7 linked regions of the Mus musculus genome follow. The protein of the gene in region 6 purifies or fractionates together with the protein of the main gene of each other region. This does not show direct contact. Links are inferred from orthologs where the notes say so. Each region holds a gene or a part of one and is shown on either strand. Other genes may lie near its edges.

Region 1 (3,769 bases), on a different chromosome or scaffold from region 6:
AGACACACACCATAGTTTGTACTTGGAGGTGGTAGGGGAAACAGATACCTGAGTTGGCTTTGCTTGTCTGGCTGTGTGCTTGTTTTCTGTGCCATAATTCCAGTTCTTTTCTATTTCAGACCAAAGAAAAATATGGAAAAGAATGCAAAGTAAGTATGTCTATTAACTTTCATTTTCTTTATCCCCTTTCTTCTTTATTCTATCAAACTGGCATTGTGCTTGCTGAGTTTTGAGGCCCTCTATTCAAAGTCCATGCTCACGGCTTTCATGTACGGTTGATCTAGTCAGTAGCTGACAAGGAGTGTGGAGGGTAAGAGAGTGACCATTCTAGTGTAAGCTCATAAACAGGCGTCTGTGTGCACCGCACACCGGGAGTTTGTGTGCCGGGTGTTTCAGCTGAGGAGGAGGACTGTGGCTGCCACAGTATTCTGGAAGATGGTTCCTGCTTCACTTGCCTTGATCCCTACCAGAAAGACAAAGAGTCAGATTTCTAGTGAGGTTTACATTAAAAAATGTAAGGTGGGAAGCTTTGACTCTGAATGTTTATTTCTATGCTGTTCTAGCTTTTTAACGTCTAGAAAAAAGAAAGGAAATGGGATAGGGTCAACTGGCTTGTGGATTAGCTGTTTGCTAAGGCCAGCTCTCCATACTTACTCAATCTGAATTGAGTCCAGGCTAGAACATTTAAGATTCTGTGTCTCTTGCTGTGTGTTCAGATCTGTGCCAGGCCATTCACAGTGTTTCGCTGGTGCCCTGGGGTCCGCATGCGCTTCAAGAAGACTGAAGTGTGCCAAACCTGCAGTAAATTGAAGAATGTTTGTCAGACCTGCCTGTTAGACCTTGAATATGGTATGTTTGCCACACTCACTAGATCTTCAAGTGTATAGGGGCCCAACAGGCCAGCCCCTTGCCTCCCACTTCTCTGGTTTCCATCCCACACTAGAATGTCTACTGTGGCCTGCTTTTCCCAGGAAACATATCCTAACTAGGCTGCTCTAAAGACCTCCTGAGCAGTAGTAGGAACGTCAGGAGCAATTGGGAAGAAATCAGAACTGGCCTACCCGCCATCTCTGTGCCAGCTGGAATAAAAGGCATTGCTCCTTTGATACTGTTGGTTTGTTTGTTTTGCCTGGATCCCTTTGATCTAAAACTTTCCACAGTCCCGAACAAGTTCCTGGGCTAAGTATGCTACGAGCTGTTAGGACCAGGTATTGCTTCTCTTTCAAAACACTTGCTTCTAGGATTGTTTTTAATTTTATGTAAATGAGGTTTTCGTTTCAGAAAAAGTTACCTACCAATGGGGGTAAGGGGGGCGTTGTGGCTGCATATTGTTTTATATTATTCATATGTTTGTTTGGAGCATTTAGGCCTGGAGTACAGTGTTACTAAACATAACTGGCCATCCATAGGAACTTCAAGACCAATATAACAATAAACCATTGTGTTCTATATGTATATATTAAGTATATTGTGTTAAAAGCTAGATACTCTGTTAGCTTACTTTGGCCCTAAAGTATATTCTTTGAAACAATTTTCTAAACAAATTCTATGTCAGCACAGGAATTTGGACAGTTTCTTAGGGTACTCTCTATAGCAGTTATTAGCCCAATGGTGCTAAATAGATTTAAAACATTGTAAACTATCACCAAGTAGGTTGATTATCTGATTTTAAAGATTTATTTTTGTCTTTCATTGTGTGTATGTGGGGGTGGGGTACACATGTGAATATAGGGCAGAGTCTAGAAAAAAGGCTGTCAGCTCCCCTGGAGCTGGAACGACAGTGAGCTACCCTGCATGGCTGTGGGGAACTGCACTCTGGTCCTCTGCAGACCAGCATGTGCTCTTAATCCCTGGGGCATCGCTTAAAGCTCCCACCAACCAGGGCTGAGAAGGGAAGGGTGATGTAGTTTATATACACATCGAATATGAATATGTTACCAAGTTTTTAATTCCCCAATTTCTTTGTACCAGGCCTACCCATCCAGGTTCGTGATGCAGGATTATCATTTAAAGATGACATGCCTAAGTCAGATGTCAATAAAGAATATTACACCCAAAATATGGAAAGAGAAGTATGTTTTTTATTTTCATTAAAATCTAATTATATCACTTCCTCTCTCCAGCCCCTCCTGTGTCTTCTCCCTTCAACCTCTCCCATGCCCCCCTAGTAAAAGATGGCCTCTTTTTCTTTGATTATTAGTGTGCTGTATGTGTGCGCATGCGCGCACGCACATACACACACGCACATACACGCACAATTGCTTGCTCACCACCTGCTGGGTTCATTTAATGCGGCTTATCTGTATATGATTTCAAAGCTGACCACTATGTACTGACTAACCAGTTAGGGTGCTCATCTCCAGAGAGACTAATTCTCAACAGTCATTAGTTGCCTGTACTTCTTTGACTAAGGTTGGGACTCGTAACATTTCCCCTTTTTGAATTAGTGTATCTATAGTTCGTGTCTTTGTTTTGACAGCTATATTGTTGAGATATCATGGGTGTAGCTTCCCTGTCATTTCTGTGAAACAATCTCACACCAGACATCCTGGTCCTCTGGCTACCGTCTTAATGCCATTGTTTATCTGGGGAAATAGATTGTGTACACGTGCTGCTGGGAATTGAATCCAGGCCTTGTGATGTAGTTTTGTATTTGATAAAAATTCTAATGAATTGACAGCCTATAAAGTTGTCTTCTTCGTGCAGATTTCTAACTCTGATGGAACACGACCAGTTGGGATGCTAGGAAAAGCAACATCCACCAGTGACATGCTCCTCAAGTTGGCCCGGACCACACCCTACTACAAAAGGAATCGGCCCCACATTTGTTCCTTTTGGGTGAAAGGAGAGTGTAAGAGAGGAGAGGAGTGCCCATACAGGTAAGAGCTGAGCCTCACTTTCAGACTCCTGAGTAGTGGGGGAGACTCTAGCTTAAATTCATACTTTAACACTACAGCTCTTATGGCCTGTTTGCATGTAGAGCATCTCTTGTCATAAAACTTACATTATAAGAACCTGGCTAAATTATACTTTTTACTTAAAACTAAGCCTTGAGGAAATAAATTGCTATGTTATATAATGTACATACTGACTGTTTCTAAGTTAATAAGTTCTACGTTACTATGGTAATTTGGTGTCCATTTAAATGGTGTGAACAGCAAAGTATAGCTGAGGTCAAAACAAGACCACCTGAAGGCTACTTGCGTTTCAACCAAGACTGCCAAGCATCAGAGTAAGGGGTTTAGCTAATGATTTGTTAACTGTAAAACCACCCCCTAAATATATGCCCTTCTTCTGAGGTGAAGTCCGTAGCTTTAGTCAGATTCTATTAGAGCAGTTTAAGTGGGTTACTTAGAGCATCAGGAAGACTCGGTGGTTAAGAGCACTGACTGCTCTTCCGAAGGTCCTGAGTTCAAATTCCAGCAACCACATGGTGGCTCACAACCATCCGAAATGAGATCTGATGCCCTCTTCTGTAGTAAGTACACTGTACCCAGAAGAGGTACAGCTACAGTGTACTTACGTATAATAAATAAATCTTTTTTTTTTAAAGTTATATATGATATAGTACTCCCTTGGTATTTGCTGTTGTTTAGTAACAGTATTTTTGTACAGATATTTTGTAATTTGAAAGGCATTTGAGGGATTCTTGCCATGTAGCTACTTTAGAGTGATAAATTTCCCCTTGTTTCACCTTGATGCACTTCCCACTTGCGAACCTTAGACATGAGAAGCCTACCGACCCAGACGACCCTCTTGCTGATCAGAA
Region 2 (3,769 bases), about 53 Mb from region 6:
CAAGTCTCTTGTTATAGAATTTGAGGTGAAACAGGCCAAAAAAGGAGACACAAAGGCAAGTGTGAGCGCTCCTTTCTCCACCTTCCCACTTTCTACCTGTCGGCTTCCTTTCCCCTTCTTCATGGCAAGCTTTACCGGAAAATGTTAGATGGCTGGCACGATGGCACTCCTGTAATGTCAACCCTGCTTACAGAAGCCTCCGTGCAGATCTAAGACTATCATATGCTGCACACTGCTGCGGTGCTCGTGCAGTGCAAAGCTTTGTGTTGTTTTGGACACATAGTGGTCCATTTTGGAAAACAAAGACTTTCAACTTTTCTACTGAATTTCTTAGCATGTACAAAGCTAGGCAGTATACTTTTGGATTGTGTTTGTTTGGTTTAAAAAGCTGCTATTTGAGTGGTTGGTTTGAGCTTCATTAAAAATTACTAAATGAGTTGTGGCTTAGAATTAGGACAGGTTTTCCAACAACTTCTGAAATGGCCCTAAATATTTGTCTGCCATTTTGTACTATGCATTCATGTGAAGTAGTGTTCTCAGAAGTGATGACTGTAAAATCAAAATATTGATCAAGTCTAAAAAACATTAAAATGCTCTCTACCTCCTACAGTATCAAATATTCAACCACGATTTAGTTTGTATGTAAAAATCAATAAGAACGTTGATTTCACTGCCATGGACATTCATTTCCGTCTTTGCCAGTTTCCGCTTGTGGAGCTTACAGTTTTAAGCACTACAGCACTAACCAGATGCCTTGGAAATAAAATTGAGGTTTGTGAAACCATGTGGTCTTCTGAAGCCTCAGGACTTGATGTGACAAAGCACCATGCCAGCACTGACCCATTCACTGTCTAAGCTCTGGTCACCAGCACGTAATTTCCTAACGGTACCGATTCTCCATGAGCCTGTGCATTATTGCCCATTCAAAGTCTAGTAGTCTCTAATCTATTCATATGGAAACAGGGTTTTCTTTAAAAGTGAATGTACTAGATAATGCCCCCGTGAGTATTTGGCTTGGATTAAATGAAATTAAGGAACCGGCCCACATGAGGAATCTACTTTAGGAAAGGACTTATGGCTCACTCAAGTTTCTTCTTTACTCATTTTTAAAAACCCACCGATTCATAAACAAAAATTTCTGTGCTTATCATTAATCATGCTACATTTTCCCTTTTAGTAGTATAAAAGGTCTATGGTGATTTCGTTAGGATGCAAATTGCTCTTAATATAATGCTGACATAACAGCAGCCAACAGTGCAAGCAATTGGTATTATATGGCGTGAGAAAACAAAACACAGCAGATTTTTATGAAAATACAGATGTTTGAAAATCATACTACCATGTAAGATTGTCTTCTCCTCCCCAGGTTTCTCTTCTTCCTGTTTGCCTTTTTTCTGCCTCTTTGCTGTGATTTCATCCAATTCCTTTTGTTCTTCCTACCGAAACAAAGCAGTGAACTTTAATGAGAGCCTGAAATCTCATCGTGCCCACCACTGCTGGCGTATACCCTCTGTAAGGAGGCTCACAAACATGTCTGCTAGGATGGCAATGGCAACTCTGCCACAGCCAGAGACGGATCACCTCTTACACAGATCACAAGATGATATTAAACACATGCTCAGTAATATTTTTAAACTGAGTCTGTCTCCTCCCCCCGCCCCAATGGCTAGACAGAAGTTCATCATGCTGTGCTAATCAAACGACAAGCCATCAGAAAGTCTGGTATCAGAGGACACTGAGTTTAGAGCACAGTCCTGTTTTTGTTGAGTTGCTTTTACATTGTCAAGACAACGGAGTAAGCAGCAATCATGGATGTGAGACCAACTTGTTTTGGGAGATCTAGGGAGGTAAGATGGGAACAGCAAATCTGCATTTATAATAAACAAGCCCAGGCATGATGTGTACAGGAAGAAGACAGCAGCATATGCATGCTACAAAGTGAAGCAGATGTAGGAACAGCTGGACCACCACCTTCCTAAGGACAAAATTATCTTGAGCTTGTCTGTCACTGTGCTTCAGCTGTGCTTCATAACTTGGGATAGTCCCTAGGCCTCAGAGACAGTGGGTTACAGATGTGAGCAAGAATTCTGTAGTTCTATTTTATACACTTCACAAGGATCTTTTTAAAAATAATATAGATAAAACTTAAGATTTTGAAAGTAAATTAGTAAGTAAAGTCACTACGGATGCCAGTGTGAGAGCAAGGCTGACCCTAGTAACGAGGTCAGGGATGGGAAGGACAGCAGGCAGGGGAACTTCTGAGCCATAGTAATGGTAATTATATTAAAAAATGGTTCCATATTCTACATAAGTCAAAAGAGTATGGGGACAATACGACAGAAAAAATGCAAATTCGGATATTGCAAAGAAAAGCTAAGAAATTTTATTATATTTTCTCAGTCAGATAAGGCTGAGAAATTCTGATGAGTCATGGGTTCTCAGGGGGAAATCTCACATTTATCAACACAGACATGACTGGTAGAGACACACACATTGGAACTGAAAGGAACACATCAAAGCTTACTTCTGAAGGTTTGGCCACATCTTTTTCATCCACATATTTTGCCCATGGTCCCAAGAAACCATCAATATTAGATGCATCATTTTCTTTGAACTTTTTCCTCTTTTCTGTTTTCTTCTGACCAGTTTCAAATACAGTTAAGCCTGCATTAACAACAAACATTAATGGAGTGAGCGCGCTGATTCTCTTTAGAAATATCAGCACACATGATTTTATATGGTTACAGTAGGCCTAAGCAATCAAACCCAAATGCCTAACTCTGCCACACAGACCCACTTGAGCTGACAAAAAGAAACAACAACTTCTTTTCCTCCTCCTCCTCCTCTTCCTCCTCCTCCTCCTCCTCCTCTTCTTCCTCCTCCTTGCTTGGCAGGAGACCCAGGAAGTAAGGTGTCACCAGTTTGCTAGTCTAGGTCTCTTGACTCATGACAGAAGCAGGGGGAGGTGTGGGAGGAAGGGAGGAACTGCTCAGTCCAGGTGCCTTCTTAATGAATCAAAAACCAGTAATGGTAGGCTTTTTGCTTTGTTTTTAGAGACACAGTCTTATGTAGCCTAGGATAGCCTTAGTTGAGGTTATAGACATATACTATGATGCCCAGCAAGATATCAGCACCTCTGAAAACAAAATAAACTAATTTATCATTTAAAAATGGAATCAAACTACAGCAAACGCTTAATAATTTATTTTTACTTCATGTATATATAACAATACAAATTAAACAGGGTTTCATAGATCTGATATAACTTCCATATGATGTTAATCTAAACTTGGCCTCCAGTGTCATCAGCTTTGAAAAGAATTGATAAAGGATGATGGTTTGATTCTGATGTCATTAGCAGGCGAGGGCTGCATACTGTTTGTATTTACTAAAGTCAAAGAAGCATTTGAGCAGCATAATCACAAGCTAAGAAAGAAAAAGGAGTGTAGTAGAAAGAAAAAAGCCTACTTGTATAAACTCAAAGCAGTGCTCACTGGGCTCTATGTTACAGCAAAGCAATTAAAATTCCATTTCAGTACTTCATGCATACTTGTAAGACAGTTTCATAATAAAGGTTATCCTTGTACAACTATCACATTTTACTTTTGTGGCATTTTATAAATAAATATTCTGATGAGCTTTGAACAAAGCTGGCTTTTCACTATAATGGTTCGTCTCATTCTAAGTACTAAGTGAATATGAACATAAATATGCTTTAAAAGACATTGAAAATCTGCTATTACAGCAATTTGTCAAAATTATTTTAAAA
Region 3 (4,455 bases), about 13 Mb from region 6:
CATGGGTGATGAAGCCCCAGCATCCGTGTCGGAGAGCAGAACGAATACACCTGTAATGTCAGTGTTCAAGAAAGACTCATGAAAGAGACAGAAGGGTTCGTAGGGCTTGCTGGCCAGTCAGTATAACTTAAAAGTAAGCCCCAGGTGGGACCCTACTGCCAAGCCCAATGACCAGCGTTTTATGCTGGAGACCTACATAGTGGAAGATGAGAACCAACTACTCAAGTTTCCCTCTGGCCTTACTGGCATACTCACACCCCAAAACACGTGTGCACTCGTGCAAGAAGGAGAAAAGAGGGGTACAGATAAAGAACCCCACTGGATAATATAGGTAGACATGATGCCCAAATCTCTACAAGATACTGTAAAGTTCTCGTTAGGGAAGAAGGCTGAGACAGGCCTTAAAGCCTGCCCGTACCCTACCCGTGGCAGAGAGGGCGGCAGAGACTGTTCCTGCTATACACCCCACGTTCGCAGACTGCACCTCTCTCAGTTGGGAACGGGCAGAGGGGTCGGAGAAGAAACTAAGCGAGAACCAGACCCAGTGGGCACTCTGAGTGATAGCTGGGCCAGTCCTGGGCCACCAGCGGACGCGGGATCCAGGACAAACGTAGGCTCCTAAGGGAGTAAAAAGGATCGGGTGTGCGGAGCAGAGTCCGGGATGGAAACTTACTGATGGAGAAGCCGCCCGGTTCTTCCTGGGCCACTCTGCAGCGCTCCAGCAACAGGGCTCCGAGGGGCTGCGCGAGACACGGCCATGAGCGCCGGCCTCCGGGCCGCGCGGGTCCCCCGCGCCCCCCACGCCCCTACCTCGGCCTCGTCCGGGCGGAAGTAAAAGAGGAAGTTGACCACCAGCTTCACCAGTCGCCGCTTGGCCACTGTAGGCACAGGGCGGTGTCAGCGCGGAACTGTTCTCATTCGCCCACCCAGGAACCGCGCCGGCCCGCCCAAGTGCCCCAGCCGCAGCCCCGACTGGCTCACCGCTGCCCTTCTTGGGGCCCCGCATGCCCAGCTCGGCCGCCATCTCTGCCGGCTGTCGGGACAGCGCCTGCAACTCTTTCTCGTTGTACCGCATCCCGCCGCACGGATCCGCGCGAACCAACACGCGCCCTGCCTCTCGGCCGCCGTCCTCCCCGAAGCCGCAGCCAGCGCCACAAAAGTCTCAGAGAGCGATCTCGGAAGTCCCAACCCGGTTACTGCGCCTGCGCGTTGTTGGGCTGGTTGCGCGGCCCTAATTTATGGGTCTGCGCGGTTGAACAGAGTCAGACGGGAAGGAGATGGCCCGTCCTTAAATAACCGCCAGACATACTAAGCGTGAGGTGTAAGTTAGACTCAGAGCACTCCACGATGAGCGAAGCGCCTTCCTGGGCCGGTGAACCCTAACGCTTTCCTCTTGTCACGATAGCCGGCGCCGCTAGACTTAGGGCGGAGCGAAACTGTGCGGTCGCTGCAGTGAGCACGCGCACTCTGCGCCCCGACGCTCCTTTCTCTCCCGCCTACCGAAGACGGAAGTCCATCCGCTGGGCCTGCGCACACACGAAACGCCGACGCCTTTGCTCCCGGAAGGGATCGCTTCGTCGGTCGTGCGCACGCGCGCGGCGAAACCGCGGCCTTGGCGGAGATTAAACCCGGATAGCGAGGCCTTAGCGTTGGTGAGGAGCTGCACAGTTTGTCGGTGGCGGCTGCTCCGTCGGGGAGGCTTGAAGGTGGGAGCGAAAGCCCGGGGGCGGGACGGGGAGAGGCAGCGGCCGCCCTCTTGCCTCAGGATCGGCGCGCGCCCGCCGGGAGAGCGCGCTCTCGCGAGGCCCGTTGGGTCGCCGCGTGATTGCTGGCTTGGGTGGCGCTTCTGTGGCCTCCAGGGTGGTTCGGGGTGTCCGAGTGGCGTCTCGGCGTGTATTTTGACCTCCTTGGTTGTTTCCGTTTCCACCTTCGTTAATCGGGGCCCTGGCGACCACTGCTCCTGTCCACCGGAGCAGGTCCCTTGCTGGGATTGAAAGATAACGGTATCTGCACATAAAAGGGATTTGTCCTGGGACCAGGCCTCCTCCCAGACCATTACCTTAACATATACCACGTCTCTGTCCTTATTGATCGTTCATCGGTAATCTTACGGTAGTCCGTGAGGTTGCGCATCTCCCGTCCCTGCGTCCTGGCCTCCTGTCCCAAGTTTCACGTGTGAGCCCCTCCAGTCATCGGCACAACTTTTCATTTATTTCAGACAGGGTCTCACTGCTTAACTGGGGCTGACCTGCAACTCGGTGTGGAAACTTGGCCGATTTCCAGTTCACAGACATTGCCATGCCTCTGCCTTCTCTCGCATAGTGGGACTTACAGCATGAGCCACCACACTTGGCTGTTTTGATTGGTTTTAAGGAATCGAGGGTTTATTTTGGCTGATGGTATGAAGGTGCGGTCTGCCGTGGTGGTCGTGTTGCAGCAGTAGTCAGCAAGCAGATAAATGCCCTTCCCCGCGTTTTTAAAGATTTTGTTTTAATGTGTCTGTGTGGAGCTTTGTGTGTGAGTGGGGTACCCATAGGGTCCAGAAAGGGATATCAGAGTCCCTGGAGCCTACCGCCACCCTTTTTTCTTTTATCTGAGATAGGATCTCACTGCACAGCCCGGTTTGGTCTCTAACACTAACCTAACCATCTTCCTACCTTGGATAAAGAAATGGGATGAGAAGTGTACACCACCACGCCCTACGTTTTCTGTGTTTCCTGGGGTTGGGAACTGTTGGTGGGCGTTTGCAGAGCTTGGTGCCCCATCCACAGAGCAAGCAGTGTGCTCACCCAGGCCCCAGTTTTGTTTTGCTTTTCTAAGATTTATTTATTTATAATGAGTACACTGTAGCTGTCTTTAGATACACACCAGAAGAGGGCATCGGGTTCCATTACAGATGTTTGTGAACCACCACATCATTGCTGGGATTTGAACTCAGGACCTCTGGAGGAGCAGTCAGTGCTCTTAACCGCTGAGCCACTTCTCCAGCCTGCCCAGGCCAGTTTTGTCCTAGTGTTTGTTTTCCCTCCAAAGCTCATGAACTAACTGCATTTTTGCAGTGGGTACCCATACACATTCAACCTCAAACATGTACCCCTAGGGGACCTTATGCATGATGGACAAGTGTTCCACCCTTGAGGTGCACCCTCACATCTGTGGCTGGATACCCAGGCTCCCTGCAGAGGCCAGGTATAGAGTCCTATGTTCTTGAAAGTTGTCTTTGCCAGCGGTTGAAGTGGTTTTCCATCCTGCTGTTGCGGGTGCCCTCTTGCTCTGAGAAGCCCATGCTGCCACCCTTAGACTCTGCTCTTGCATCTGGCCAACTTCATCTCTGGGAATGTGTCTCTTAGTAGCTTTCAAAGATGTAGACAATGCTCTTTTCAGTCCTTAAGTGGCTGAGTATGAAACATCCGACAAGCTGGTTCTGCCCCACCACTTCCATATACATCTTTCAGCCATTCTCTCGGCATCTAGAGCATCTTGTATCCTTTGCATTCTAGCCTCTTTCTCTTTGACAGCCAGTGGTATCAGTGTCCTGTCTGTCCCAGACACACTCTGTGGTGACACTGAGGTAACTAGGTACCTGGCCCTCAAGGTTCTTAAGTCAAATTTGCAGGAGGCTCCAGCAATATTAACAAGGACTGCCTCCACTTGTTTCCTGAGTACTGTCTCTGAATTTACCTATAGGTTTAAACCAAGGGCTGGGGCTGACACTGAGTAGTCTAAAGTGTTCTGTCATCAGATGACACTGCCTATAGGCTTTGGTTGAGCCTCAAAGATGGGACCCTTGGTACCAAGCACTCCATATGCCATGTGTCAGGTGGAGGAGGGCGTGTCCTTTAATGCCTGCAAAGGCAGGCACACAGGCCAGCCTGATCTATGTAGAGAGTAACCATGACTACATAGAGAATCCTCTCTTAATAATAATAATAATAATGAGAAAAATTAACAACAACACCGGGGAGAGGTGGCTCAACTGTGGTCACAGCTCTTAGGAGGATCAGGAGTTCAGCGAAGGGAATGACCTGCCTGCTGGGCTACCTCGTCCTAGCATCATGTACAGTGTTCTGAGCCTTAGCTGTCCTTACTCCCCCAGGTTTCTTCCTGTCCCCTGAAGCACCCAGGCCTGCATCATGGACTTTCAGCACAGACCTGGAGGCAAGACTGGGAGTGGGGGCGTAGCCTCCTCCTCTGAGAGCAACCGGGATCGGAGAGAGCGTCTGCGCCAATTGGCCCTGGAAACCATTGACATCAACAAGGTCGGGGGGAGGGGGTGCCAGTTCCCACATCCACAGAGCTCTCACATGCCTCAGTCCTTGGTTCATGCAGTCTAACGGTACATTTATTCACTCCCAGGACCCGTATTTTATGAAGAACCACTTGGGATCCTATGAGTGCAAACTCTGCCTGACTCTGCATAACAATGAGGTATCTGCCCCTGCTTTTTCTCCACTG
Region 4 (4,262 bases), on a different chromosome or scaffold from region 6:
AGGACCCAGGTTCATATTCCCGGCATCCATAGGGCAGTTCACAACTGTCTATAACTTCAGCTCCAGGGGATCTGACACCCTCACACAGACATGCATGTAGGTAAAACACCAATGCAGATAAAAATAGAATAAATTTAAAGTAGAAAGACCAACAACTATGTGGGATTAAAGCAAACCCGAGGATGGAAAATGTAAAAGGAGGCAGTGGGTACCCTGGTTAATCTCAACCATCCTACCTCGCACAATGTTGTATTCTGTTTCAGCGGGTGCTGACGGTACTGTTTGAACCCAAGAGAAAGGAAGTGGGTCTACGACTAGAAGAAAAATTCGGTGGACTGATGTATGGAGAACCTGAAGGAAGACATCAACAATAACAAGTAGCCCAAGTGGGCAGTTCCTGAAGACCAGGGAAACGAGGAAGCAAGGTCCCATGAGGAATGTTGAATAAATAGTAAGATACTTGAGGGGGAAGTCCTTCCAGGGAAACCTCTGAAATGTTAGTTTATTATTTATTGGGAGTAGGGGGACAGTGGGTACCCTGGGGTTGTTCAGGCATTCATCCTGCCGGGGCCCCAAGGTTACTCCTGTGACTGGAGTAGTTCTACTGTGAAAACTGTACTACCTTCATTGTGAAGTACTAAGCTACTCCAGTGAACTAATCTTTAGTTCATTATCTTCCATTCATCCACGGAGGCAATAATCTCTCTCACAATTTTTATAAAAAACACTTTTCAAAAAAAAAGGGGGGGGGCTGGCGAGATGGCTCAGTGGGTAAGAGCACCCGACTGCTCTTCCAAAGGTCCAGAGTTCAAATCCCAGCAACCACATGGTGGCTCACAACCATCCGTAATGAGATCTGACTCCCTGGTGTGTCTGAAGACAGCTACAGTGTACTTACATATAATGAATAAATAAATCTTTAAAAAAAAAAAAAAAAGCAAATTATTTGTTACCGTATAAACTTTCTCGCTGAAAGCTGCCAGCTTTGACTGAAATCAACTGCAATACCTACTAGAAGATTCCAGAAAGACTGCTGCGGAAGAACCTTGTAAGTAGAAAGACAACACTTGGAAAATTCTTTCTCCTACAAACACCGAACCTTTGGCAAACCACATTACCCAGAAGACCTTACGGCCTGGCCGGCCCTCGCGCCGTGCATTCTGGGATTGGTAGTTTTCAGGGCCTATTCGTCAGCTCGCGTGGTGCAGGCCCAGGAACTCCCTTTCCCGGCTTGCCGCGCGGCCTGGGTGCTCCTCCGTGATCTGGAAACGCGAAAGATGGCGACTGTTCGGCGACGTTGAGGCCGCGTTAGGCGGTTCAGGCGCGGGGTGGTGAGTCTTGGCGGTGGAGGCGGCTCCCACGAGTTTGGAGAGTGGGTGAGGAGCGGGAAGATAGCCGTAGCCTCAGCCCGGAAGGGGAAGAACGCCTCAGGGAAGGGGCACGAGCCAGGGCAGCTCCGGCGGGCAAGAGTGAAAGGGGCGCGGGCCCCGGGAGCAGTGTTGGCTGCCCAGGGCACAGGCCACTTCCAGGACTGTATTATGAGCCTAGACTTTGGCCCGTGGACATCGCCCTTGTTATACGTCAGTCTGACTTAATTCTTGTTTCCTTACTTCGGCCAGACAGGAACTCTAATGTGCTCCCAGAACCCACCCCATGCCTTCCGGCTCGGGGTTGCCAACTAGTGCTTCGGCCGGAGATTAGTTCTAACCCTAACCCACAGTTGCACATCTTCAAATTCTACTCGTACTTTAAAACGAGCCACTTCCTCTGTGGGCCCTTCCATATCCTCTTTACGAATGGAAAGGACCGGCAACTTTGGATTCTTCGCCTGAACGTTCTTATCTTGGCGTGTCTTGTGCCATCTGCTGCTTCCTGTGGACAGAATTTCATTTTGTAGTTTCCACGGGGCCTACAGCTGAATGTTGCATATATAGTAGCGCTTGATGAACAATTAAATGAAAACAATTGGCCTTTGCCCTACAGAGAACTGGGAAGCACGGCCAGGGTCTTTTGGAGCCCGGGTCTTTTGGAGCTTAAGCTGGCCTTGAATTCAGTATGCAGCCTAGTCCATTTTGTCTTTGGACGCTCAGTACTGCCTTCACCTTCCTAGTGCTATGATTACACTTGTAGACTATTAAGCATTTTCTGTAATTAAAAAAAAAAAACAAAAACCAAGTCTACATATTTCCTTGTAAGTCACCAGAGTAATTCTTTTCAAATGTAATTTTTGGTCGTATTATACTCTGCTTAAAGTTCTCCAAATGTTCTCGTTGAGATGACGTTGAGAGTCACATGCCTTTGCACGGGCCCCTAACAGTGTATTTTGCTTCTATTGACAGTTCTCATTCTGTCCCAGACAAACGCCATTCAAGCTTAGTGTCTTCTTTATTTTCTTTCTTTCTTTTTCTTATTTAAAATCTACTTATTTAGTGGATTGAGTACATTATAGCTCTCTTCAGACACACCAGAAGAGAGCATCATATCCCATCACAGATGATTGTGAGCCACCATGTGGTTGCTGGGATTTGAACTCAGGACCTCTGGAACAGCAGTCAGTGCTCTTAACCGCTGAGCCATCTCCCCAGCCCCCTGTCTTTATTTTGTTTTCCTTTTCCTTTTTTTCCCTACAGCTGTAGTGAAAGTCACCAGTAACTTCCACTTCCCCCCCAAATCTCTAGTTCCTACTCTTGGTTTTAAGTTGAAATCCAAGCACCTTTGCCCTGGTTTCTAACAATTTCATGATTTGACTTCTCCTCATTCTTGTGTTTTTTGGGGTGGTGGTGGTATGTATGGGTGTTTTTCATGTGTTTATGTCTGTGCACCACTTGAGTGCCTAGTGTTTGAGGAGGTCACAGCAAGGCGTCAGGATCCCCTGGGATTGCAGGTGCTTGCTTGCCAGCCATCATGTGGATGCTGGGGACCAAACTCAGGTCCTCTGGTAGATCAGCCAGTGCTCTTAACCACTGACCAATCTCTCCAAGCCCCTGACCTTGTCTTTTTTGGGGGGGGAAGATGGGGGGGGGTCGAGACAGGGTTTCTCTGTGCAGCCCTGGCTGTCCTGGAACTCACGCTGTAGACCAGGCTGGGCTCGAACTCAGAAATTCGCCTGCCTCTGCCTCCCAAGTGCGGGTCTGTACCCCTTAGCCACAGTCTCTGGAGAGCGACGTGCAGAGCTGGTTGTTCCCTCAGTGCTTGCCAGCTCCATCTGTAAGCTCTCTTTCCTGATCATCCCATGGCTGTTTCTTCCACTGTCAGCTCTCAGTGTAAATGTCAACCTAAGACGTCTTCCCCAAGAGCCTCTTCTTCATCTCTCCATATCATGTTACTCCGTTTCCTTCCCTGTTTGGAGCTCACTCTGAGTAGCTGAAACAGTGTTACACTGGACTCATGCTTCATGAAGTCAGCGAGTTTGTGTTAGTTACGGTGTCGTCTCCAGGACCCAGAACAGCTCCTGGCACTAGACGGTGTTCAGCACTTGGGATTAAAAGCAGATCAAGGCAGATCTCTGTGAATTTGAGGCCACCCTGGTCTACATAGTGAGTTCCAGGCCAGCCAAGTGCCACCATAGAAAGGTGGTGTTCCAAAAACAAAAAAAACAACCAAACAACCCAAGGATGGGCTGTTTTCCTAGGGCTGTAGGAGAGACATACTGTGAAATGCATGATAGACTGACTTAGACCAGTCTCTCACTTTTTTTAGTTAATTGTGAGATAAAACTAGGTCATCTTAGCCTTCAGAAAACGCTATTTGTTCATTTTGTTTTTTCATTCTTAACATTTTCCCTTCTTTTTTTTTTTTTAAAGATTTATTTATTTATTATATGTAAGTACACTGTAGCTGTCTTCAGACACACCAGAAGAGGGAGTCAGATCACATTACGGATGGTTGTGAGCCACCATGTGGTTGCTGGGATTTGAACTCAGGACCTTTGGAAGAGCAGTCAGTGCTCTTATCCGCTGAGCCATCTCTCCAGCCCAACATTTTCCCTTCTTAGGCAATATGGCAGTCACTGGCACTGGATAGAAGGATTGCCTCAAAATGCTTAGGACACCAATACTCTAGCCCAGTCACCTGCGAATAAAATAATTACTAGTTTTTGTAGTTCAAGAACAGTTGCCAGGGGGCTGGTGAGATGGCTCAGCGGGTAAGAGCAGTGACTGCTCTTCCGAAGGTCCTGAGTTCAAATCCCAGCAACCACATGTGGCTCACAACCACCTGTAGTGAGATCTGATGCTCTCTTCTGGTGTGTCAGAAGACAGCTA
Region 5 (3,769 bases), on a different chromosome or scaffold from region 6:
CAAAAGACCAGGACCTAGGCCACAAATGAGAGAGTCACTTAATTGGGCTCATGTTTTCAGAGCAATAGAATCTGGTGGCAGAACAAAGGCATCATGGTAGGAATAACTAAGAGCTCACATCTTGATCCATAAGCTGGAGGAAGGCAGAGACACACTAGGAATAACTCAAGTCTTTTGAAGCCTCAAAGGCTGCTCCTGCGGACACACCCTCCAAGGTCATACCTCCTCACCGTTCACAAACAATTCTGTCAACTTGGGACTGTATATGCACACATACGGGCCCATGGGTCCTGCGGACACCCCCTCCAAGGTCATACCTCCTCACCGTTCACAAACAATTCTGTCAACTTGGGACTGTATATGCACACATACGGGCCCATGGGTCCTGCGGACACCCCCTCCAAGGTCATACCTCCTCACCGTTCACAAACAATTCTGTCAACTTGGGACTGTATATTCACACATACGGGCCCATGGGTCCTGCGGACACACCCTCCAAGGTCATACCTCCTCACCGTTCACAAACAATTCTGTCAACTTGGGACTGTATATTCACACATACGGGCCCATGGGTCCCATTCACATTTAAACAAACATGCTACTAAATGATTTCTTTTTTATTTTAGTATTTTTTTTAAAAAATGAGTGATTTGTCATCGTTGTGTTACAAATCCCTTTCTCCACAATAATGGGGAGAATCAGCCTCAAATTAACATCTTCACATATAAAACCTAGTTTCCCAAAGCGGATTACTGGCAGTAAATATGAGGAACTGTAAAGGAGTTTGGAGACCTCTGTCTGAAATTCCTGGCTATTGATTTTGAATGCATCATCCCTACATGTGAATATGAAAGTGGCTAAGGATTTGAAAAATACATTTTCTTATTTATTTATTTATCCATTCATTCATTCTGCATCCCACTCACTGCCCCCTTCCTGTTCAACCCCTCCCACAATCCTTCTCCCTTTCCCCCTCCACTTCTCCTCTGAGGGGGTGGGGGCCCACTCGGTCTCCTCCCATTCTAGTACTTCAAGTCTCTGGGAGGCTAGGCATTTCCTCTGTCACTGAAGCCAGATGAGGCAGCCCAGCTAGAACATACCCCATATATAGGCTACAGCATTTGGGATAGCTCCCACTCTAGTTGTTTGAGATCCACATGAAGAACAACTGCACATCTGCTAGATGTGTGCGTGCATGGAGGCATAGCTCCAGCCTGTGTGTTTTCTTTTCTTGGTGCTTCAGTCTCTAAAGGGTCCAGGTTAGTTGATTCTTTTAGTCTTCCTATGGAGTTTCTTCCTCTTGTTTTCAATAAGAGTCCCTAAACTCCAACTACTCTTTGGCTGTGGGTGTTTGCAATTGTCTGAGTCAGCTGCTGAGTGGGACTTCTCAGAGGACAGCCTTGCAAGGCTCCTGTTTGCAAACATAACAGTATCATTAATAGTGTCAGGAATTGGTGCTTCTTCATAGGATGGGTCTCAAGTTGGCCAGTTATTGGTTGACCGTTCCCACAGTCTCTGCTCCATCCTAATCCCGGTATTTCTTGTAGACAGGATAAGTTTTGGGTCGAAAGTTTTATGGTTAGGTTGGTAGCCCTATCACTCCACCAGGATTCCTGCCTGGCCATAGGAGGCAACCTCCCCAGTTCATATCTACAGTGGTATGAGTCTCATTGATTCTTGGCACGTCCCCTATCCTGGGTCTCTGTCTCTTCCTAGTGATGCCTTCCCCAACCTCCACCCAGTCAGTTGCAGATTTCCATTCATTCTCATGGCCACCCACCCATCCTCCCTACCCCTACTCCCCTCCTGATCCAGCAGAGTATTTGTATAAGTGGTTATCACATATTTACGATAAAGTGACTCCTCAAAGAACTTTTAACATGGCTTTGGGATAAATTTTAGTTCTGTGTAATTGAGAAATATTGCTACTGTTGTCTGCTGTAAACATTTTTATAAAGCTTATTTTTGCCTTTTTAGCATTTACAATGGAGTGATATAATTTTACTTAAAAGTTACTAAAAAGATTGTAATTTTATATTTTTGTCTTGTTTTCTTCTTAGAAATGGAAACACTTTCAGTTTTTAGAAGTTATGAACCTGGTGAACCAAACTGCAGAATTTATGTAAAGAATTTAGCTAGACATGTTCAGGAAAAGGTAAGGTGAAATGTGCATTCAATTTTGTTACTTACTTTTCCCACTGGTTTTCTAATTTGTCTTTTTTTTTTATAAAAAATTTCTAATTTTAGGACCTTAAATTTATATTTGGAAGATACGTTGACTTTTCTTCAGAAACACAGCGGATCATGTAAGTGGTAGTTCTAATTTCATATTATGTTTTATCTGTTAGAAATTCATCACGTTTTGTTATGTTGACTTTTCTCTTTAGTGCTAAAATTTGATGAAACATCTGTTGTTTTACATAAAAGTCCTTTTAGAAGTTTAGAATAGGGATAGACAAATTTCTATATATATGAGCAAATGAAATTCTTAATATTTTAAATTAGATCATACTTGTTAGTTCAGTGTTTTTCCTACTATGAAAGCTGCTATAAAGTGTATATTAAAAAATGTTTATGGTTATACTTCTAAATCCTTATTTATAAACGCAAACTTTCTACTGTTTTGTGCCTAAGCTTTTGACACTAATGTACTTTTAATGTATTTAGTACTTTTTCACATTGCCTGAGAACTACTTGGAGAGCTTGGTTAAATGGTTTCCTTGGCCCATCTCCAAAGATAGGTTTTCTAGTTGTGTCAGGCCTCATGGATTTGCATTTCTAAAAATGACTTTAGCCATTTAATTTTATCGTAATTTTAAGTAAAACCAATCTTACCTGCCTTACACATTTTTGGATGTAATTTTGTTCGCATGTACAACTACGTACAAGGTGTATACTATAAAGGTTATATTTTCAGTATTACCTTGCCCATAGTTAGAATTTAAGTTGAAGGAAAAATTCCATTTGAAAAAAAGGTTATAGAGCCCCAAATGATTGTTATCTATAAGACCAGTAACTATATTTAAAAAAGAAGAAATTTTCACTTTATTTTTACTTGTGTGTGTGTGTAGAACACACATGTACATAGGTGGATCATTATTCTGTGTGATATACAATGCTCCTTTTTTTTTTTTACATTTGTTTGCTTGTTTGTTTGAGACAAAGGTTTGTTTATTAGCCTAGTAGTTGGCAGGTTGGTGAGTCAGGCTGGCCAGAAAGTCAGAGGCCATGTGTTTCTGCCTCTCTAGTTTTGTAATTACGAGCATATATCAATCACGCCCAGCTTTTTGTTTTGTTTTGTTTTGTTTTCTTTCTTTTTTTCAATGCGTGTTTAAAGGATTGGTCATGGTCCTTTTACAATCAAAGCAAGCTCAACTTTTCAGGTTGAGCTGTTACTTAACCTCATTAATTGATAGTGTTTGTTTTATATTTTTTAGTTCATAATATTAGATCATATTTTCATGTTATTTTTATATATAGCTCTTAAGTTTTCTCTCTGAAATGTTTATATATGAATACACTTACTGTAGAATGAATAAATGAGATATTAGGAGGATTAAACTAGGAATAACATGTGACTTAGACCCTATGCTTGGAAGAGTCATTCTGTTTCTAGGTATCATTAGTAAAATGTTAGCTTTGAATATCTGTTAAGTCCCCTATATACTCTAAAAGTTTGTAAATGTTTATAATAATATAAAGCCAATAATGTAAATCAATTACTTGGTTTCTCTTAGCCTTCTATTTATGTATTTATTTTTAAATCTGT
Region 6 (4,399 bases):
CTGCAGTTATGGATGCCGTGGGCACCATGCGGATGCTGGGAATTGAACCCAGGTCTTCTGGAAAAGCTGCCAGTGCTCTTAACCTCTGGCCAACTCTCCAGCCTCAAACAAGCATTTTTCCAAGTCTACTTTTAACTCTTTGGAGTATATACACAAGTCGGATTACTGGTTCGTTGTTTTTGAGTAGATGTCATATTGTTTTTCATAGCAGCTGTGTGGTTTTGATTCCTTCAGATGGTACCCAAGAGTTACAGTTTTCCACATCTGCACTAACACTTGTTTTCTACGAGGTTCCTCTTTTTAATGTATAAATATTATTCTCCTGATCTGAAATAGTATCTCCTCTTGGCTTGCATTTCCCCAATGACATTGGGCACCTTTTCATGTGTGTATTAACCATGTGCTTTCATCTTTGGAGAAATATGTTACTCACATCCTCTATTTATTTATTTACTTGTATTTTTTAAGACAAGGTACTCACATCCTCTATTTATTTATTTACTTGTATTTTTTAAGACAAGGTCTCATTATGTAGCCCTGGCTGGCCTGTATCATGCTATGTAGTCCAGGCTGGCCTAACTCAGAGATCTGCCTGCCTCTGCCTCCTGGGTGGTAGGATTAAAGGCATGTGCCACTTTGTCTGTTTTTAATTTTTTTGTGTGTTTAATTGTAGTTTCTGCCCAGATTTTAAAGGTTACTTAGGTGGATATATTAACTAGAAATCCAGCTAACAAGAATATGGAGAGATTTGGTCTGGAAAATTCTTGAAACGAGTTATTTACAAAAGCTGTAGAAAAGTCTGGAAAGTATGCCTGTAGTGGTGAATATAGTGTGGGATTAGAAATGAGAGTTCAATGTTATGAATACACTGAAAACCCCAGAATGTTTTGTTTCATCCCTGTCACTTGGTGTGATTCTGTGAAAAAAAGCCTGTGATTCTGTCATTCCTGGGATAGAAGCAGGAGGATTAGAAATTAAAACATCATCCCCATTTCACAGGAAGTTGCAGGCCAACCTGGAATACATGAAACCCTGTTGAAACAAATGAACCACCTAATAGTTGATCTTGCAGTTAATGTAGTGTCCCGAGGTATAAAATGTATCTCTGAGCGAGCCCGGTTTCTGAGTTGCTTCAGTTAGCCAAAAGGTATTGGTTGTCTGTTTGGTACCATGAATATAACAGTGAGCAAAACAAAGTCCATATCCTTGAGCTTGTTCCAGTGGTGGGAGATGGTTGTGGACCACAGATGCGTAGGAGTGATCCACAGCATGGCGGTAAAGCAAAACCAGGGTTATGAGTGTGCAGTACTGAACAGCCTCGCCTCCAAAGAGACCTTTGGCATCTGGGACAAAATCATATCTGTTGGAAGGAGCAGCAGATGCAAAGCTTCTGTCCACGGGGATTGGGGGGGGGGTACTAGGGTGTTTGAGGTACAGACAAAAGGCCAGAGTAGAAGGTGGGATGGCAGTCACTGAAAGCCTTTCAACAGTAGTGAGGCTTTTGAATTTAGTAAGCTCTAAACTTTGGGTCATTAGTATAGATACAACTTAGAAGCCATTTAAGTGTTAGGGAAATGTCAAAAATAATTAATCCATGTGTACCATTAATCTCAGCAGTTATGAGCAGAGGCCGGTTAATCTCTGAGCACAAGGCCAGCCTGGTCTACAGAGTGAGTTCTAGGACAGTCAGAGCTACACAGAGAAACCCTTTCTCAAAAACATAAATATCTACATACACACACAATTACATTCCTTCTGATAGGAGTTATATACAAAATCATCTCACAAACATTTGTTCTAGTGACAACATGTTCTCTGGTTGCTTTGTTTTCCTACAGAGAAACAGCTTGCATGTCTTAAATGCTTTATGCCAGCCACATCTACCTATGTCCACTGCCTGCTTATGAAAGACGCTTCCTTCTCTTCTCTTGTTCTGCCTTTGGTGACCCCATATAGCACTGGTGGATATTTTTTTTTTTTAATTGTAAGAATGATAGCTAAAGCCGGGTGTGTTGGCGCACGCCTTTAATCCCAGCACTCGGGAGGCAGTGAGTTCCAGGACAGCGAGGGCTATACAGAGAAACCCTGTCTCGAATCCCCCCCACCCTAACTAACTAAATAATATAACTAAATAATTAGTTTATTTTAGCTGCTGAAATAGCTAAAGATTTTTCATTTAAAATTAGAATAGAATTTGCAAAAGTAACCCTAAAGATCATTCTTGATTTACACACCCCCACCCCTCCACCCCCATCCCCATTGAGTACATGAGATTTTAAAAATCTTAACTTTTTTTGGTTTGGTTGTTGGCTAATATATTTTAGCCATAGCTTTTGTACACCCATTTGAACAAGTTAATATGATTCATAATGTTTTACTCTAAGAAAAGTTAATGTCTGGTTCTTTGGAGCTGAATTTTCAGAAAATTTTAAGAATTATAACTTACTCAAATAAGCTTTCTTCTTTGAGACACTTTAATAGCAGATAGAAATAACATCTAGAAGGCTTAATAACTTTGAAACGAGCTTTATTATCCATGAGTTCTATACCCATGCATGTCTTAATGAATATATGAAATCCAAAGCTACAAGAGTGATGGGAAGATAATCTTAGAGCTACTGTTTATGGATCCAGTGTGAGTTGTTGGTGTGGAGGAGTCTCAGTCACTGGGTCCTCACCGAGTAGGCATGCTGCACTCTTCCCTCCCGTGCAGCTATACTAATACCTTTCTTTTTGTCTAAAGCTTGCAAATACAGAAGAGTACATAGATGGGGCGCTGTCTGGACATCTGGGCGAAGTTCTAATAAGGTAACAGACTTATTTGTGTGTATGAAAGGAGTTCTAACTAACCTCAGAAATACCTGCTGAAATATATTAGTCCTATTAAACATTAAACAGGAAGTACTCTACAACTAGATCTCAGAAGCTTGTGAAATCACTAACATGTTGGAAGATTTCAGTTTATATTTGAGATTTTCCTACTCTTGATTTACATCTCCTGGCTCCAGCTGTAACCTGTATCAGTGTCCTGGGTTACAGGGATTTAAATTTGAATTTTAGTTGAGTCTGGCTGCTAAGGATTTCTGTTGTACTCACTGTCTGGTATCAGCAACTACCTACATTCTAAGTCGTAGAGATGAAGTGTGATGATGGTAAAAATGTGTGGTGTGTCTTTACTACACCTATACAGGACTAACAGGACAAGTGGCAAGCTGTGAGTTCAGTGTCCAGTCTGATGATGGGGCACTGAGGATTGATCTTGTGTGGGTTCTGAGTGCAGCTCACAATGGACTGTTTTCTGTTACAGGTGTAATAATGTCCTCTACATCAGAGGCGTTGAAGAAGAAGAGGAAGATGGGGAAATGAGAGAATAGCATCTTGGATTTTTTTTTTTATATATATATGTATTTCTATACAATAAAGATTTGGGGTTCTTTTTTTTCAACTTGACTTGTGGACTATTTAATGCAAAGCGCAAATGTTGAAACAATGGATGGATAATTCTTAGAACTAAAGTTTTAAAAGCCTCTCAGTTTTATTCAAGGGACTCTTTTTTTTTTTTTGTAATCCCACCGCTGGTTTAACTGAGACCTCATAAAAGCAGCAGTGTTGTTTAAGGTTTCCAAACCACTTGTAACATCCATAAAGTTAAACATTTTCTTAGTATTAATATATATTGTATTAATAAATCATTATTTCTATATTGACATAGACTAAATAATGTATATTATAGCTAAGTCAAAACATGAAAATTGAAATAATTATGGAGATAAAATACAATACAAATTGATATTTAGGCTGAAGATGTATGATTTTGTTCACTTGAAAGTTTTCTGATAAGGTTTTCAGAGCTTAATGTGAAAGAAAACCAGCCCCATGATTGTTCTGAGACCGTAGTCTATTAGTTTTTAAGCTTTAAACCTGTCCAGTTGTTTTAAGAATAATACATTTTAAAAATGTATATTCAAAGCTGTAAACTTCCTTATTGCTTTAGAAAATATTAAAATTCTCATGCTTTGAGGAAGGCCATTCTATTGTTACATCAATAAATTGACTTTGGATACATGTCTCCAACAGGGACAACCTAAAGTAAGTATTGCTTAGCTCATGGCCTGTACTAGTGAACAATAGAGTTGCAGCAGAAAATAGTTGCTGTTCCTAGTCCTGTAAACTTCCAGCTAAAGGTCTGCTGCGGCCCTGGAATTTGCTAGGGCAGTATTGCATCACTGAAAGCCAACATCCACATAAAACATTCGCTAAGAAAGTATCCTCGTGATCCCGTTCAACTAAAAAAGTACTCTTCGTCCTGTGATTTTGATCTTGTATCACTGACTAAAAGGAGCTCTTGTTTGTCTGCAGATTGAGGTTTCGAACGGTAGATAAGTCGTCTTCCCAACTG
Region 7 (4,354 bases), on a different chromosome or scaffold from region 6:
TAACAATTAAGAACATACTAGACCGGGTGTGGTGGTGCACGACTTTATCCCTGGACTTGAGAAGCAGAGGCACTTTGGATCTCTGTTAGTCCCTGGCCAGGCTGGTCGACAAAGTTGGGTTCCAGGACAGAAACCCTGCCTCAAACTCCCTCCCCCGCCCCCCCAAAAAAAACAGGGTTTTTGTTGTCATTTTTTTTATACATACATAATGAATATATACATACATAACATATATATACATGTAATAGCAAGTAATAAATTGTAAGATTTTTTTTTTAATATATATATCAAATAGAGAAAAGAGAAAGCCCTGACAAGGGGAGTGGGTTTTTTTTTTTTTTTTTTTTTTTTTTTAAATATTTATTTATTATTATATGTAAGTACACTGTAGCTGTCTTCAGACACTCCAGAAGAGGGAGTCAGATCTCGTTACGGATGGTTGTGAGCCACCATGTGGTTGCTGGGATTTGAACTCCTGACCTTCGGAAGAGCAGTCGGTTGCTCTTACCCACTGAGCCATCTCACCAGCCCGGGAGTGGTTTTAAATGAGATAATCAGAAAGCCCTTTTACATCGAGAGTGTCGGCACACACAGAAGGTTCTACTACCCTAGAAACAGAAATCGATTGCCTCAGTTGAAGACTAGTCTAGGTTTCAGGCCAGCTAGGACTATTCCAAGTGTGCCTGCCTCAAACAAACGTGTTAGGAGCCCCATAAGGAGGTAACATTTGAGAAGAAACCTAAATGTATAGCACAGAGCTAGCTGTGGGACACACTAATGCTTTAGGAAGAGAAAACACAAATTCAAAAGTAGTAAGATATACATGAAGAACAGCAGAAAGACCCACATACTCTCTGTTGTTGTTTCGAGACAGTTTCTCTGTGTAGCTCTAGCTGTTCGTGAACTCTCTCTGTAGATCCGCCTGTCTCTGCCTCCCAAGTGCTGGGATTAAAGGTTTGTGAGAGGACTATATCTCAAAGCTAACTGCAAAGGTTAGGTACCAAAGGCCCCAAGCACCACACAGTACAAACTGCAATGTAACTACTGGAAATGAACATACTGGTTTTAAAAAAAAAAAGACTAGGAAATAAGACTTTTTAAAAATCCCTTAACTCTGGGCACACATCACAGATTTGGGTACTTTATTCTCATTCTCTCTCTCTCTCTCTCTCTCTCTCTTTCTGATTTTCCCAACTATAAATTATTATGTAGTATTACTTTGATACTACATAATACACAGGCACTAATTATTTTAATAATATACCTTAAAAATATGATTTTTACTCAAGTTTGGGATTTTGTCTGTTGCCAAGTATTACAAAGCCAAAACTCTCAACACATCCTAAATCTCAAATAAATTAGCCAATGTACTTTAAAAAGTATATTCATTATCTCCCACGGTTTCGTGGATATAGAACTCAAAGATTCTAGACAACAAATACAAGAATCCTGGGTTTAAAGGAATCACATTGAAGATCGACCATCTCAAAAGCCCCCTTTTGAAGTCAGCCATCACTACACACTCCAGACGACAGTGTCAGGATCACATCTTATTCACTGTTTAATCCCTAGTGCCTACTATAGTATTTATATGTAACAATGGCTAAACAAAGCTTTTTAAAGAATGATCCCCCAAACCCAAAGCTGAGTAGGACAATCTTAAAACCATATCCCGAGGCAACCTAGAAAATGAGAGATCAATACAACACATACACAAGGCTTTAAGAACCACCTGAAATTTCTGCCATAGCACAGTACTTACTAATCCAGAACTTCTACCTTCTATGTCTAATCCCACTCTAGTCAGAAAGTAAATGAATTTTTAATTGTACGATTCCAACTGACAAATGGTCGAGATGTACTTATAACAGAAAATTCCAACTTTAAAATACTGGACGTAGCCTTGGCCACAACTCACCGACGTGACCATCTAGTTTACTTCCCTAACTTGCATACGCTTTGGTCCGGCCTCTTCAAACTCACCATCTGGAAGAGTTACTAGTTTGTCACGACTCTCAATAGAGTCACGTGCTACACACCCCCTTCCGGATCCTGAGTTAGACTCACCTGAGTACTATAGTTTTCAAGAATCAGAGAGTCCAGAGCAATGGTGGAGAATACACAAGTTTTTCCAGTGCCCGACTTAGCTTGGACAATTAAATCTGAGGAAGAAAAAAATTATATATATTACATATTATTACCTAGATTTACTGATGCCACCAGATACCAAATACGAGAAAGGAGAATGAAGAGGTTCTCTGCCATGAGGACCTAGTTGCCACCTGTATTTTTGGTTGACTCTCAAACGCGCAGGAGGTGTGCTTGATGCCCCAATCTCTTAACCACCGAGCTACCTCCCCAGCCCTTTGCGCCCCGAATCTCTGCCGCTCACCTTCTCCAACTTGGACTCCATGCTGGAAGAAAGTCCTACCCTCAAATTCAACTGCGCGCCTTAGAGCCTGGCTTAGCCCCGCGATGGCGCGGAGCCGGAGCTCTCCGGGGGCCACGCCGTCCCCTCCTTCCCCCCACCGCCGGCCGGCCCCGGTCCTCACCGAGCCCGCAGCGCCCCAACGGGATGGCCTTGAGCTGCACCGGAGAGGGTCTCTCGAAGCCGGCCGCCCGCAGACCCTCCAGCACCGGTCGCGACAGCAGCAGCGACTCGAAGTCCGCGGGCTCCGCCAGCACCACGTCCCCGGTACGTGTGCGCGGCCCGCCGATGTCGTGTGCGGTCCGCTGGGTCCACGGGGATGCCGGAGTCGGCTCCACAGCCTGCACCGGCGCGGCCGCACGCTCCGCAGCCATAGTGGACTCGGAGGTTGTCAAGGCCGCCGGGACTTCAAACGCCGCCGCCGCCATGGTAGCCGCGCCTCCAGATCTCGCGATATTTAGACTTGAGGCGGGGCTCCTGGGAGCGAGAAGGAGAAAAACTTTATTGGCAGCCTCCCGGAGAAGACACGGACACGCCTGGAAGCGGAGGGGAAGAACGGAAGTCGGAGGCTGTCACTCTAGGAGGGAGCAGAAAAAAAAAAAAAATGTAGCCTGAGAAAGAGGCGGGAAGAGCGAGGGAAGATGAGGCTACCGGTGTGTTGCCGCCTGCGGCCTGCAGAGGGCGCCGCGTGCCCTTGGTGGGCGCCGCCCGCTGCCGGCCTCCCGCGGCTCTGAGTGCCTGGCCGCGCGGCGGGGCTCCAGACCCGAGCGCCCAGGACGCGCTTTGTGACGCAGCTCGCGAATCGGTCGCCGTCGCCTGGGCTTGGAGTCGGCTCCTTGGGTCAAGCTCGGCTGTAGCCACGCCGAAGTCTTCGCGATCCGTACCCTGTCGCGTGACGGAAGTCTCCTGATATTTAAGTGGAAACCTGGACTGCACGCCAACTCCTAGGCTCTGCTTGATCGCTCTCTCGGAAACCCTAGGCTAATAGACGTCTCGGGTCCAACGGATCTTTTGTGTGCCCTTCCTCCGTTATGGGGTGGGCAACTAGCACACCACTTTCCCTTCCTCTAGACCCACTCATGTGTCACCCTGTCAAAGAGGCTTTTCTTGAAATCTTGAGTGGTTTCCATCCTGACTGCTTCCTGGCCTTTCCCATTATTCCCACCACTATCCCCGAGTTTGATTATTTGGTTTGATTGGCTTAGTTAGTTGGTCTGTTTATTTTCTAAATCAGAGTCTCCCTATGCCGCTCAGGCTGGCCTCAAATTGGAAATCCTCCTGGCTCAACTTTTCAGATACTGAGATGACATGTGTGTGCCACCATACCTGGTCAGGTTCTTCATGATACAACTACCTAAAATGTTTATTGTCCACCCCCCACCACCACCCCCACACACACTTTCCATGAGGACAGAAAGCTATTCTGATTTGTTCCCTTCTGTCTCTGGTAGGAGAAACATAATCTGGCACGTACTAAATACTGTTTTTTGAAAGAGCTCTTAGAACAAAGCTTTAGTCATGCTTCCAAATGTAAGCATATCTTTATTACTTTTCTCATTGATGATGATGGACTGAGTCTCAGAACCTGTAAAAGAACCCCAATAAATGTCCTTGGCCATGGTGTCTCCTTACAGCAATGGAAACCCTAACTAAGACATGTTTGCTTAGAAATTAACAAAGCACTAAGCAAACGTCCACTATCCAAATGAAGGAAGAGGAACTAAAGATCGCAAGCTTCCTCATAGTTGCCCACATCTTTCACCCACCCAATCCACAGATGACAAATCTGAGGATTCCTTTTTGCTTTGCCTTCACCCTCTTTCTATCAAACTACTGTCAAATACTTGTGTCTCCAAATGTCTCATCCACTCCTTTACCATCTCCATAGTATCTACCCTGGGTCTTCTGGTCATCCTAACTGTTGCA

The links.
Region 1: the proteins of Snrpf (region 6) and Rbm22 purify together in Homo sapiens (co-immunoprecipitation; 3 studies listed by BioGRID and IntAct, counting the BioPlex papers as one, with this or other methods). This does not show direct contact. The link is inferred for Mus musculus from reciprocal best matches to the Homo sapiens genes SNRPF and RBM22.
Region 2: the proteins of Snrpf (region 6) and Cdc40 purify together in Homo sapiens (co-immunoprecipitation; 3 studies listed by BioGRID and IntAct, counting the BioPlex papers as one, with this or other methods). This does not show direct contact. The link is inferred for Mus musculus from reciprocal best matches to the Homo sapiens genes SNRPF and CDC40.
Region 3: the proteins of Snrpf (region 6) and Sf3a2 purify together in Homo sapiens (affinity purification with mass spectrometry; 4 studies listed by BioGRID and IntAct, counting the BioPlex papers as one, with this or other methods). This does not show direct contact. The link is inferred for Mus musculus from reciprocal best matches to the Homo sapiens genes SNRPF and SF3A2.
Region 4: the proteins of Snrpf (region 6) and Ddx23 purify together in Homo sapiens (co-immunoprecipitation; 3 studies listed by BioGRID and IntAct, counting the BioPlex papers as one, with this or other methods). This does not show direct contact. The link is inferred for Mus musculus from reciprocal best matches to the Homo sapiens genes SNRPF and DDX23.
Region 5: the proteins of Snrpf (region 6) and Rnpc3 purify together in Homo sapiens (co-immunoprecipitation; 3 studies listed by BioGRID and IntAct, counting the BioPlex papers as one, with this or other methods). This does not show direct contact. The link is inferred for Mus musculus from reciprocal best matches to the Homo sapiens genes SNRPF and RNPC3.
Region 7: the proteins of Snrpf (region 6) and Ddx20 purify together in Homo sapiens (affinity purification with mass spectrometry; 5 studies listed by BioGRID and IntAct, counting the BioPlex papers as one, with this or other methods). This does not show direct contact. The link is inferred for Mus musculus from reciprocal best matches to the Homo sapiens genes SNRPF and DDX20.

Annotation. Positions count from the first base shown.
Region 1 is NC_000084.6:60,563,647-60,567,415, forward strand, and holds part of Rbm22 (pre-mRNA-splicing factor RBM22), read left to right. Parts: intron 1-119; coding exon 120-149; intron 150-716; coding exon 717-849; intron 850-1,971; coding exon 1,972-2,072; intron 2,073-2,706; coding exon 2,707-2,879; intron 2,880-3,724; coding exon 3,725-3,769. UniProt on the Homo sapiens protein: Required for pre-mRNA splicing as component of the activated spliceosome. Involved in the first step of pre-mRNA splicing.
Region 2 is NC_000076.6:40,848,406-40,852,174, forward strand, and holds part of Cdc40 (pre-mRNA-processing factor 17), read right to left. Parts: intron 2,665-3,769; coding exon 2,525-2,664; intron 1,437-2,524; coding exon 1,340-1,436; intron 1-1,339. UniProt on the Homo sapiens protein: Required for pre-mRNA splicing as component of the activated spliceosome. Plays an important role in embryonic brain development; this function does not require proline isomerization.
Region 3 is NC_000076.6:80,797,100-80,801,554, forward strand, and holds the start of Sf3a2 (splicing factor 3A subunit 2), read left to right. Parts: upstream 1-1,635; 5' UTR 1,636-1,706; intron 1,707-4,096; 5' UTR 4,097-4,133; coding exon 4,134-4,259; intron 4,260-4,356; coding exon 4,357-4,428; intron 4,429-4,455. Other genes in the region: Plekhj1 (pleckstrin homology domain-containing family J member 1), read right to left, coding at 674-740, 811-878, 982-1,075. UniProt on the Homo sapiens protein: Component of the 17S U2 SnRNP complex of the spliceosome, a large ribonucleoprotein complex that removes introns from transcribed pre-mRNAs.
Region 4 is NC_000081.6:98,659,892-98,664,153, reverse strand, and holds the start of Ddx23 (probable ATP-dependent RNA helicase DDX23), read left to right. Parts: upstream 1-1,264; 5' UTR 1,265-1,331; exon of another isoform or gene 1,332-1,376; intron 1,377-4,262. UniProt on the Homo sapiens protein: Involved in pre-mRNA splicing and its phosphorylated form (by SRPK2) is required for spliceosomal B complex formation.
Region 5 is NC_000069.6:113,609,595-113,613,363, reverse strand, and holds part of Rnpc3 (RNA-binding region-containing protein 3), read left to right. Parts: intron 1-2,060; coding exon 2,061-2,155; intron 2,156-2,247; coding exon 2,248-2,306; intron 2,307-3,769. UniProt on the Homo sapiens protein: Participates in pre-mRNA U12-dependent splicing, performed by the minor spliceosome which removes U12-type introns. U12-type introns comprises less than 1% of all non-coding sequences. Binds to the 3'-stem-loop of m(7)G-capped U12 snRNA.
Region 6 is NC_000076.6:93,582,439-93,586,837, reverse strand, and holds the end of Snrpf (small nuclear ribonucleoprotein F), read left to right. Parts: intron 1-2,510; exon of another isoform or gene 2,511-2,743; coding exon 2,744-2,808; exon of another isoform or gene 2,809-3,307; coding exon 3,308-3,374; 3' UTR 3,375-3,809; downstream 3,810-4,399. Other genes in the region: Ccdc38 (coiled-coil domain-containing protein 38), read right to left, coding at 4,283-4,396. UniProt on the Homo sapiens protein: Plays a role in pre-mRNA splicing as a core component of the spliceosomal U1, U2, U4 and U5 small nuclear ribonucleoproteins (snRNPs), the building blocks of the spliceosome.
Region 7 is NC_000069.6:105,684,572-105,688,925, forward strand, and holds the start of Ddx20 (probable ATP-dependent RNA helicase DDX20), read right to left. Parts: upstream 3,001-4,354; 5' UTR 2,857-3,000; coding exon 2,553-2,856; intron 2,163-2,552; coding exon 2,068-2,162; intron 1-2,067.